Drosophila melanogaster: one gene and its partner. The protein of the gene in region 2 interacts with the protein of the main gene of each other region in a pairwise test. Each region holds a gene or a part of one and is shown on either strand. Other genes may lie near its edges. The genes, in order: CG6380 and CG4631.

The links.
Region 1: the proteins of CG4631 (region 2) and CG6380 interact in a two-hybrid assay, tested with the Drosophila melanogaster proteins (one large-scale study listed by BioGRID).

What each region holds. Positions count from the first base shown.
Region 1 is NT_033779.5:17,290,472-17,293,955, forward strand, and holds CG6380 (uncharacterized protein), read right to left. Parts: upstream 1,732-3,484; 5' UTR 1,638-1,731; coding exon 756-1,637; 3' UTR 604-755; downstream 1-603.
Region 2 is NT_033779.5:16,605,812-16,610,849, forward strand, and holds CG4631 (uncharacterized protein), read left to right. Parts: upstream 1-1,558; 5' UTR 1,559-1,678; coding exon 1,679-4,069; 3' UTR 4,070-4,226; downstream 4,227-5,038. Other genes in the region: CG31815 (uncharacterized protein), read left to right, coding at 135-1,466.

The DNA of each region.
Region 1 (3,484 bases), 680 kb from region 2:
TTCATTTGCAAGCGAATTGACCGAAGCTTAATAATAATAAAACTGAACTGCTACGGCATTTAATGGCTAAATTAAACATTTTGCATAATTATTTCAAGTGATTCTGCAGTTGTAATATCCGAGGAATTATCTTAAAGGGCAGAAATCAGTTTTCTTCACAATTGGAATGGCCAGAGCATGAAATCAGAATGAAAGCGATTGGCCGGAAGGAAAACTCTTCGGTTGCCTAGACTGTCAAAAGGAATTTTCAATCACAAAACAAAATGCCAAAATAAGTTAAACTCTGGCTGTGTATCCTTGTATCTAGCTTCGGCCGAATGATGATTACCGTTAGGACATTGCGTAATTAAATATTCCCCAGACCAGTGAACTTTCGGAAGCAAAGTATTAATAGATGGGGAGCAAATGAAGGTTAGTGGGTTAATCATATCAACATCTCAGCAATTAGCCTGGCCAGTGGTACTTAGAATTTTCCTATAATTTCCTTAGCAACTTAGACGAGGCACGAACAGGAGTGGAATGACCGAAAGTTATTGGACACAATTTTTGTGATTGAGTAATTAAAGATATTTATCCTTGAGTAAAAACCATTAGGCAACATTTGTTAAAAGCTTCTTCTACAAAAGAGTGTAGATAGATGTAGTGTAATAGATACTTTCTGTCAAATGCATACACAAGTTTTAATCCCCAATGGTTTGTTATAATTACAAGTTTCTTTAATATAACTTTGCAATTTTTAACACTACTGAATGATTTCAGCGGGTCTCTTTCTTAGAAGTGCCAGGACGATTATCAGGGTTGGATTTACATATACGAGCAGGAGTAGGCTTCTCGGACGTTATTTTCAGTGAACTCTTGTGTTCATGTAGATTTTGGGTTTGAGTCGGAACAACCGAAGGGTATGGGACGCGAGGCTCGCGACTTGGTTCATCATCGTTGACCGATGGCATTCGATGCAAGTGCGTTAAAGAGGCCAATTCTTCCGGCTCTGCTTTGCTAAAGAGCTCGGCCTTCAGTTTTTGGTAGCAGTGATGGCTGGGGGAGAAACCTGGTTCAGGCTCAGAATGATCTGATATCCTGTATTCGGATTGACTTTCAGAATATGAGTATTTTGTTTGCGTCAAGTTGCTTGCTTCGCCGTCGAGTTGATTGTTTTCACTGCACGCTTCACAAGATTCCATTCCCCCTTCGCAGTGAATATTAAACTCTGAACTGGTCAACTCGGCAAACTCGTCGGCTATAAGACGTCGAGCCAGTGGAACCGAATAGAACTCCTTGTAATGCACTTTTCGCCGCCTCTCAAACTCCATTCTACGCACTTTTTCCTCTACAGACTCGGGAAAGTCCTCATCCGCCGAGGATTCTTCTGAGTCTCCTTCGATGCCAAATGCCGGCATTTCTGACTTTGATGTGTGTCTCAACTTTTCGATCAGGGCATTTGTATCCAACTCCTTTGGCAAATCCTCCTCAAAGACGAAGGGTGTCTTTGGTTCGTCGATGATCATGTGGCCGTAGTCCTTACCAGCCGGGTGGAACGTGGCCAGTATGTTGACCTCATCAAATTTGGCTGCCTTCAGGCTAAATTGCGCACTATTGTTTCCCGACTTCAGGATGCCCTTTACTTGGTCCCCATCCATTCTTGTTTGTAGCTATGTGTAGTTTTGGCCTTTGAAAGGAACTAATTACCGAACTAAAATGTATTAGTGTAAACTTGTGTGTGCCCTATATGGCTTATAATATTTAACTGATAAAATACATTGTCATCGTCAAAAAATATATAAAAATCGTGGGCTCCTTTTCTTGGAAGATTATTGTATAACTTCATTACATTCGCGTACAATTTTTTATTTTATTTTTAATTTATTATCATAAATCTCTCTATGAACTCTGCACTCAAATTACTCTGTTTAACATTTTAAATTGGGATCTAATTATGTAGTAGAAGGTATGCCTGCTTCAAGTCACATATTATCTTCTTATATTCGATTTTAAAATTACTTTATTTATTGTTACCATACATATTAAATTTGTATGTTTACGTATGTTGTTTAAATGCTGCTTAGTGGAGTTTCAAATTCATTGTTACTCCATCATTATTCTCTGGTAAATTAAGCCAAACATGTTTATTAATTATAAATTAAGTCCTTGTCTCCGTATCGAGCAAATACCCAACCCCTAATCTCGGATAATACCAAATCTCCGATCAGACTGTGGACGGATTCACTTTCAAAATATCAAGTGGTTTTCCTGCTGCAATCTCGAAGTAATCCCTGTTGCCATTGCTACTGTTGTTTTTGTGTTGAGGATGTCAAGAACTCGATGTGTTTGTGTGTGGATGAATGTATTCGGTACTCCAATCGAGATACTTCATAATCCGCGGGAGCAGTTTCCAATCGCAGCCATCGAAACCACAAAGTAAACTCATTTTGACGTGTTCAAAATGGGGTTTTGCCGCCCGTTGGATGGAATGATAGGGGGTTTTGTAAAGCGGAGTCAGAGCAAGGCTTCATTATTGATGCGCCATAGTGGAGTTTTTGTTATTGATGTAAACATATTCATCACAAACATGTTACCTCCGATACGGACGAAAACGTGGAAAATGGGGGAAGTGGGGGCGGTAAATCAAGTGATGATAAGAGGCGTGGGGCAACCAATGCAGTTGTGGCAGTTGCAGTTCGCTCTGTGGCAGCTGCCACTTCAAATAACTTCACTGCACACCGTTTTTCCCGCTTTCTCCCGCTTTTCCAAAGGGAAAAGTGAGGGAGTGCCGCATGTGAAGAGGGGCTAGAGGTCACGGAGCGCTGTATTGGGAATTGATTGCAGCACATTATTTCACAATTTTGCCAGCAAATAAACAAGCCTTTGCCGGAGTACGTTCAGATACGAGCCCAGACACCGCGAGAAAAAATGCGTAAAAATATTAAAGCACGATGCCTTTAATATTTTTATATTAATATTAATATATTTTAAGGGGAGAGACAATATTATCAGTTTCCGTTTATCTGATGGAATGACTAATTAGGTATATATTATTCAAAATGTATATTACTAAAAATTATAAGCTAAATCCGTTTTCTCGCTGTGTAGATCCCCGATACGCTTGCACGCATGTGACGAGCGGATGCTTATAAGCACAGTGGATGCGACAAAACAGCAGCATAAAAGTGACGATGACGAGGATATGTCCTCCTTCACTTGTTCCTCCACGCGATGATGACGTTGCGATGTTGTGTCCTGTTGCGAGGTGAAGATGATGATGATCATCAACATCATGATGATGGAGATATAGGCGATGCCGGCAAACAGTCAACAACTGTTTTTCAGCTGCAGTTTTCCTGCCATGTTTGATTGCCTCTCTGTCGGAGACGAAATGCGATGTTGATGCGGCTAGGAAATTTTTCCTTCGATTTACGAAATTGCAGTTGCCCCGATTGCATTTCTTATGTGCATCAATCGCAACAATGTGCAGTGCCGGCAGGATGTG
Region 2 (5,038 bases):
ATTTCCTTGGAAAGTGTTACGATCAACAAAAATTTACTGAACCACAATGCCCCTGTGGTGTAGGCTTTCGATTACATTTTTGGATCCTTTTAAGAAGCAACATTTTATTCAAAATTTAAAGCATCTGCCACAGGATGAGCATGCGAAAAATATGTTGCAGCCTTACAGCAAATTTTCCTTGGACATCCAAGATAGTTTCGATTGGCCAAAAACAACCGTCTAGATCCACATGTCTATCCCAGGAGCATTGTCTTTGGCGTCAGAGAAACCAAATGGAAATCGAACAGTTGGCAAAGCTGGTGGGATTCCAGCCCGATGAAATCGATGGCTTTCTGTTTAATCTCAGCCTACGGAACTATAGTGACCTCTTGAAATACAAGGAGTGTGGATGGAATGGCTGCAATGTGCCCCTTTGTTATCCGTATGTCTGTGATCGGTACATGGCCATATTTGATCATCGTGGCAACTTACGAAGTCCCATCCATGCAAGGAGTCTTAAAAGTTTACTTCCGTTACTGCTGGATTATTTGAACGGTGATTCGCCTAATGATCGAAAGGACTCGCCCATCTACGAGGCGTATCCTGACGAACACCAGGCGAAATGTCGTTCAAATATTGAGCAGAGTGATTTAGAAGCTATGAGTTCTTCAGATTGGATCTCTCAGCTCCTTGGCAATCCAAGTGAATCGAAAAGGGAAAAAACGGGAAAAAAGACTGAAAAACCTCAACCGGTAATGAGATCTGAATTAGAAAGTGAACTAGAATCAGAATCTGAAATGGAAAAAAAGAAGCGAAAAAATAAGACCTTTGGTCGGCAGTCTGTATTCCTCAATGATGAACTTGCCCTAGCTTATGCCAAGTCCTATGATTATGCGGAATATCTGATGAAAACTTTGGGTCGACATCGATTTAGGGATAGCTATATAGGTCCCGTGGGAGATTTGAGAACAACACGTACTCACATTCTTATAAGAGACTTGATCGCCAGAAAAGGAATGAATATAAATGAAAAAAATTTGAGGAAAGCCTTAAAAAAGGTTGATCTCGAGTGGAAAGGAACGACACGGGCAGATTACAAACGTGAAATGAAAACCGCCCAGGAGATTTCCCGGCTTTACAATGTCATTGTTCAGACACCGTCAGATGAACCAATTCCTTGGAGAATTATAGGTAAGGTCAGGGAGAACTATCCAAAGGTTCCAAAAGCCTCCAAGTCGCCCAGAAAATACTTGGCCGACCAAGACGCAATGGTTTTCCACGAACCTTTTGATCATAAAAAGAACTGGACCTGGCAACGGCGACAATCAAAACGTACTATTCGAAATTCCAATTACAAATTCTCAACCACAAGGATCAAGCCATATATAAGCAGATCCATGAAGCAAGAAATAGAGCCGCTCAAGGATGAGGCTTCAATTCATTCGTCATTGAGTGATAGGGCAAGATTGCAGAAACGAGAGTCTTAAGATCCCATGTTAGGTTTTTTTCAAAATGTATTTCCATTTATATTAAACTAAATGGGCTTATTGTAAAAGGTTTTTTTTTTTAGTATCTCAGCATGCTTCGAAAATTACAGCACAGAAATCATTCAAAATTTTAGTCTGGAACTGGCGGCAATCACAAAATTTGTACTTTCGTAAATACCTGGTTTTCGGAACGCCAAGACGGTCAGGCCAAAATGAATTCCTGCTGCTGTAGATCGCATAGCGATCGCACGAACCCGATGGCCTGTCTTCCTCAGTTTCCACGTCTGCAGCGTGTCCAAAGTTGTCGGCCATTTTTGGAGGGACGAAAGGCAGCCAGCTGTTGTGTTTCGGGCGAGAGGCGATGGGGTCAGAGAAACGGTTGTATGATCCAGGTGCTGGCCAAGATGGTCAATAAGTCGTCCAGTACGGTCTGCCAATTTCTACACCAATTGACACTGCAGGTCTTTGCGAGAATTCTATATCCTTTGATGTTAGGCTGGAATACGCTGAAGGTACCGTTTGTTATACCCGACATCTGTGAGCTATACTACGGGATATTCGACGAATGTGGTAACATAAGGGGTTCCATACCAACAAGGACGTTGCTCATCCTCATATCCATGATCCAGTATTTTCTCAATCTACCGAAGAGATGTGGACAAAATAGCGCTTGTTCGGGATGCAGAAGCCAGACGGATGATTTGAGGAACATTCACAGTCCCGGTTATTGTGGCAAAAATGCCATGACGCCATTCTCGGGACGGGGGATTACGGAAAAAGGACCATCGAAGGGAAGTGATGTGTGGGCGGGACTTAAGCGATTGGGATACGAAAGACGTGGCGATCTAGATAGTTATCCCTCGGATGAGTCTATACCATATGGCTATGCACCCCATCGATGTCCTTGCCAGGCCGGAAGTCCCAGAATCCAGAGATCCGGAATTTTGAACCCGTATGCAAATAGGCCTGGGGCCATGAGATCGTTGGTCTGCGCAGAGGAACTGGAAAGTTCCATGTTAGATTCCGACTATAATCAGCAAATTCCAATGGCACCCATTTCACCAAAAGCAGCTCAAATTATTCACATTAATCACATCTCGAATCTATATGCTGCAGTCGTACAAAACCAACATACAAGACAATTATTTGCTGATGGAAGGCCACCAAGGCCGCGGGTAAGACCCTGTACTGAGAACCAAAACAGATTCTCCGGTGGTTTCATGATGCCCGAACCATATTTCAATGGTATGCCATGGAGTTGGCTGCACAGAGATCCTCAGAGAATGATACGTCTACCAAGTGGTGGTCTTCCTTTGGAAATACCGCGTTACAGACGACAACCTTTGGATGAAGAGTACCACAGTTTTAAAAGTAAATATGAACACTTGAGCAGACGGGATAACCCCTTCAAAGGAAGTAGTCTATTGCCTTTAGACACTTACCCATCTGAGAATAGATTTAACCAAGGAAATAGGTTGCAATCTATAAGTTGGGAGAAAAAAATACTGGATCATCAAAATCAGCCTACAAAAAATATTTCCAATAATCTAATAATCCCAATTAAACAACAAAGAAAACTTGAGTGGGAGCAGCTCTTTATAAAAAGAATTAATGATGCAAAGAAAACTAAGGGAACTTTTGATTTCTGGAATGAGATGATAGAGAGAAATAAGTTCAAAGCATTTCAGCAAGCAATAAAGGACACCAAACCAGTATTCCCTTCAAAAGAGATTGGGTATTCTCAATCAAGGAAAGATAGTGCCCACATTATAACGAAGAGAAGCAATAATTCCTTGCGATCGGCGAGGCAAAACCAAAAGAAATTGGAAATCGAAAAACCTGAAATTTCGAAAAGGTCAAATAATAATCGAACTCATGTTTCAGCACAACATCGAGTGAAACAACTTTGTAGTAGCCAAGAAAAGCAGACTTTAAAAAATCAAATTCAACAAGATACCTATAAAATTAAATCTGTAAATAACACTCCGCATTTGGCAAAGAATGAAATAATTCCTCAACCAAAATATCCTGATCCCGAAGATTATAGAAAAGAACGGGCTAGAAATCTAAAATTTAATAGAAAAACTGCCGGAGAATCCGTAATGCTAATAAAGCCTGCAAAAAGTATCATAAAGAAGCCTAAAGAGACTCAGTTAAAGGACGTAAGCCAGGATGAGTTGGAAAGTTTAAAGAAACAATTAGAGATGAATACAAATAATAAAAGGGTACGATTTAGTGTACCCACACCTTACAGCAATGAAAGAGTGATGCCAGCAGAAAAATATGTTCTTCTTGAAGCTGGAGATCAGATACCTAAGCACTTCAGTAAGCTTCATAGTCAAGATAAAAGTGCTACAAAAAGTGTATTTAGCCGAAGATCGGGAAAGTCACCGGAACGAGGTTTTAGGAAAAAACGATTGCATTCAGAAGATGGTACCGAACTGCCCACATATAGTAAACGAGCAGCGATGGGTTCTCAAAATAAATATTATGGAAATACCAAAGCAAAGCCAAACAAACCACACGGTAAAAGTTGTAAAATCATGCCCAAAGTATTGTATTCCAGAGAGGAAACACTGAAGAAATTGAGTTATTTGTTATGATTGCAGCGTTATTTAATATATATATATCTATCGGATTGATGTTATATCCAATATTCACCTGAATAATCTAAAATCCATATGGTATATATTTGTTACTAAGCTTAACCCGAGATTGTATAGAGATACCACGCCTGACCGCCTATTAAATTTTCGTTTGAAAAGTGTACTTGTTTAACTGAAACTATTCAAACTCTCGCCTAGTTTATGAGCAAAAAGGTAAATATTCCCTAGCATTGATTAAAAGCCGCAACACTGCAGCACACTTGTGGTAAAGTTGGTTTCGCTTTTCCGCATTTCATTTGGGCCTAGAACATCGATAATGATAACGATGATGATGCGGCCAAATGCCTGGCCGCTGAAAAGGATTTCCTTTAAACCATGCTACTAATCGAAACTTACCTTATTCCTCTAGAGTTGAGTTGGCTGAAAATCTCGAGTGTTCTTGTGTTTTGAGGCATTCAGCTTTCAGTTCGTTTTGGTTGCTTTTACTGTACTTTGGGGGCCATAACGTCTACCACCCCCTTAATTTCTGTTATATATGTATGCGTGTACTGAAGAGCTGAAGGCCTTGAGCCAAAAGGCAAATGTTTTGTGGGAAGAGCGCAATTTTCCGCTAAAGCCGAGAATCGTATTGGTAACAAGTGCCTCTCACTTTATTGGCCCCTGGGTGGGCCTATCAAATTTGGCTGTTTGAGTAGCCGGGTTTTAGGAACAAACCGATTAGATATTCATGCGAGATTTTAGTAACAGGACAGCCCTACTGCTCTGCATAAATTTTAAATAAATTGTACAAAATTAGCAGCTGGAATATGGTTTACAGAGTGAGTAACTCAGCTTAATTGGAAAATTGGTGTACATAATTTGTGGGTTCACTTTAATAACTATATAGCAAGAAAAAAGATGTGAAAGGAATACTTTGAATTTAATTTATGCTAAAGAACCAATATAAACCAGCTGCAGTACCAAATT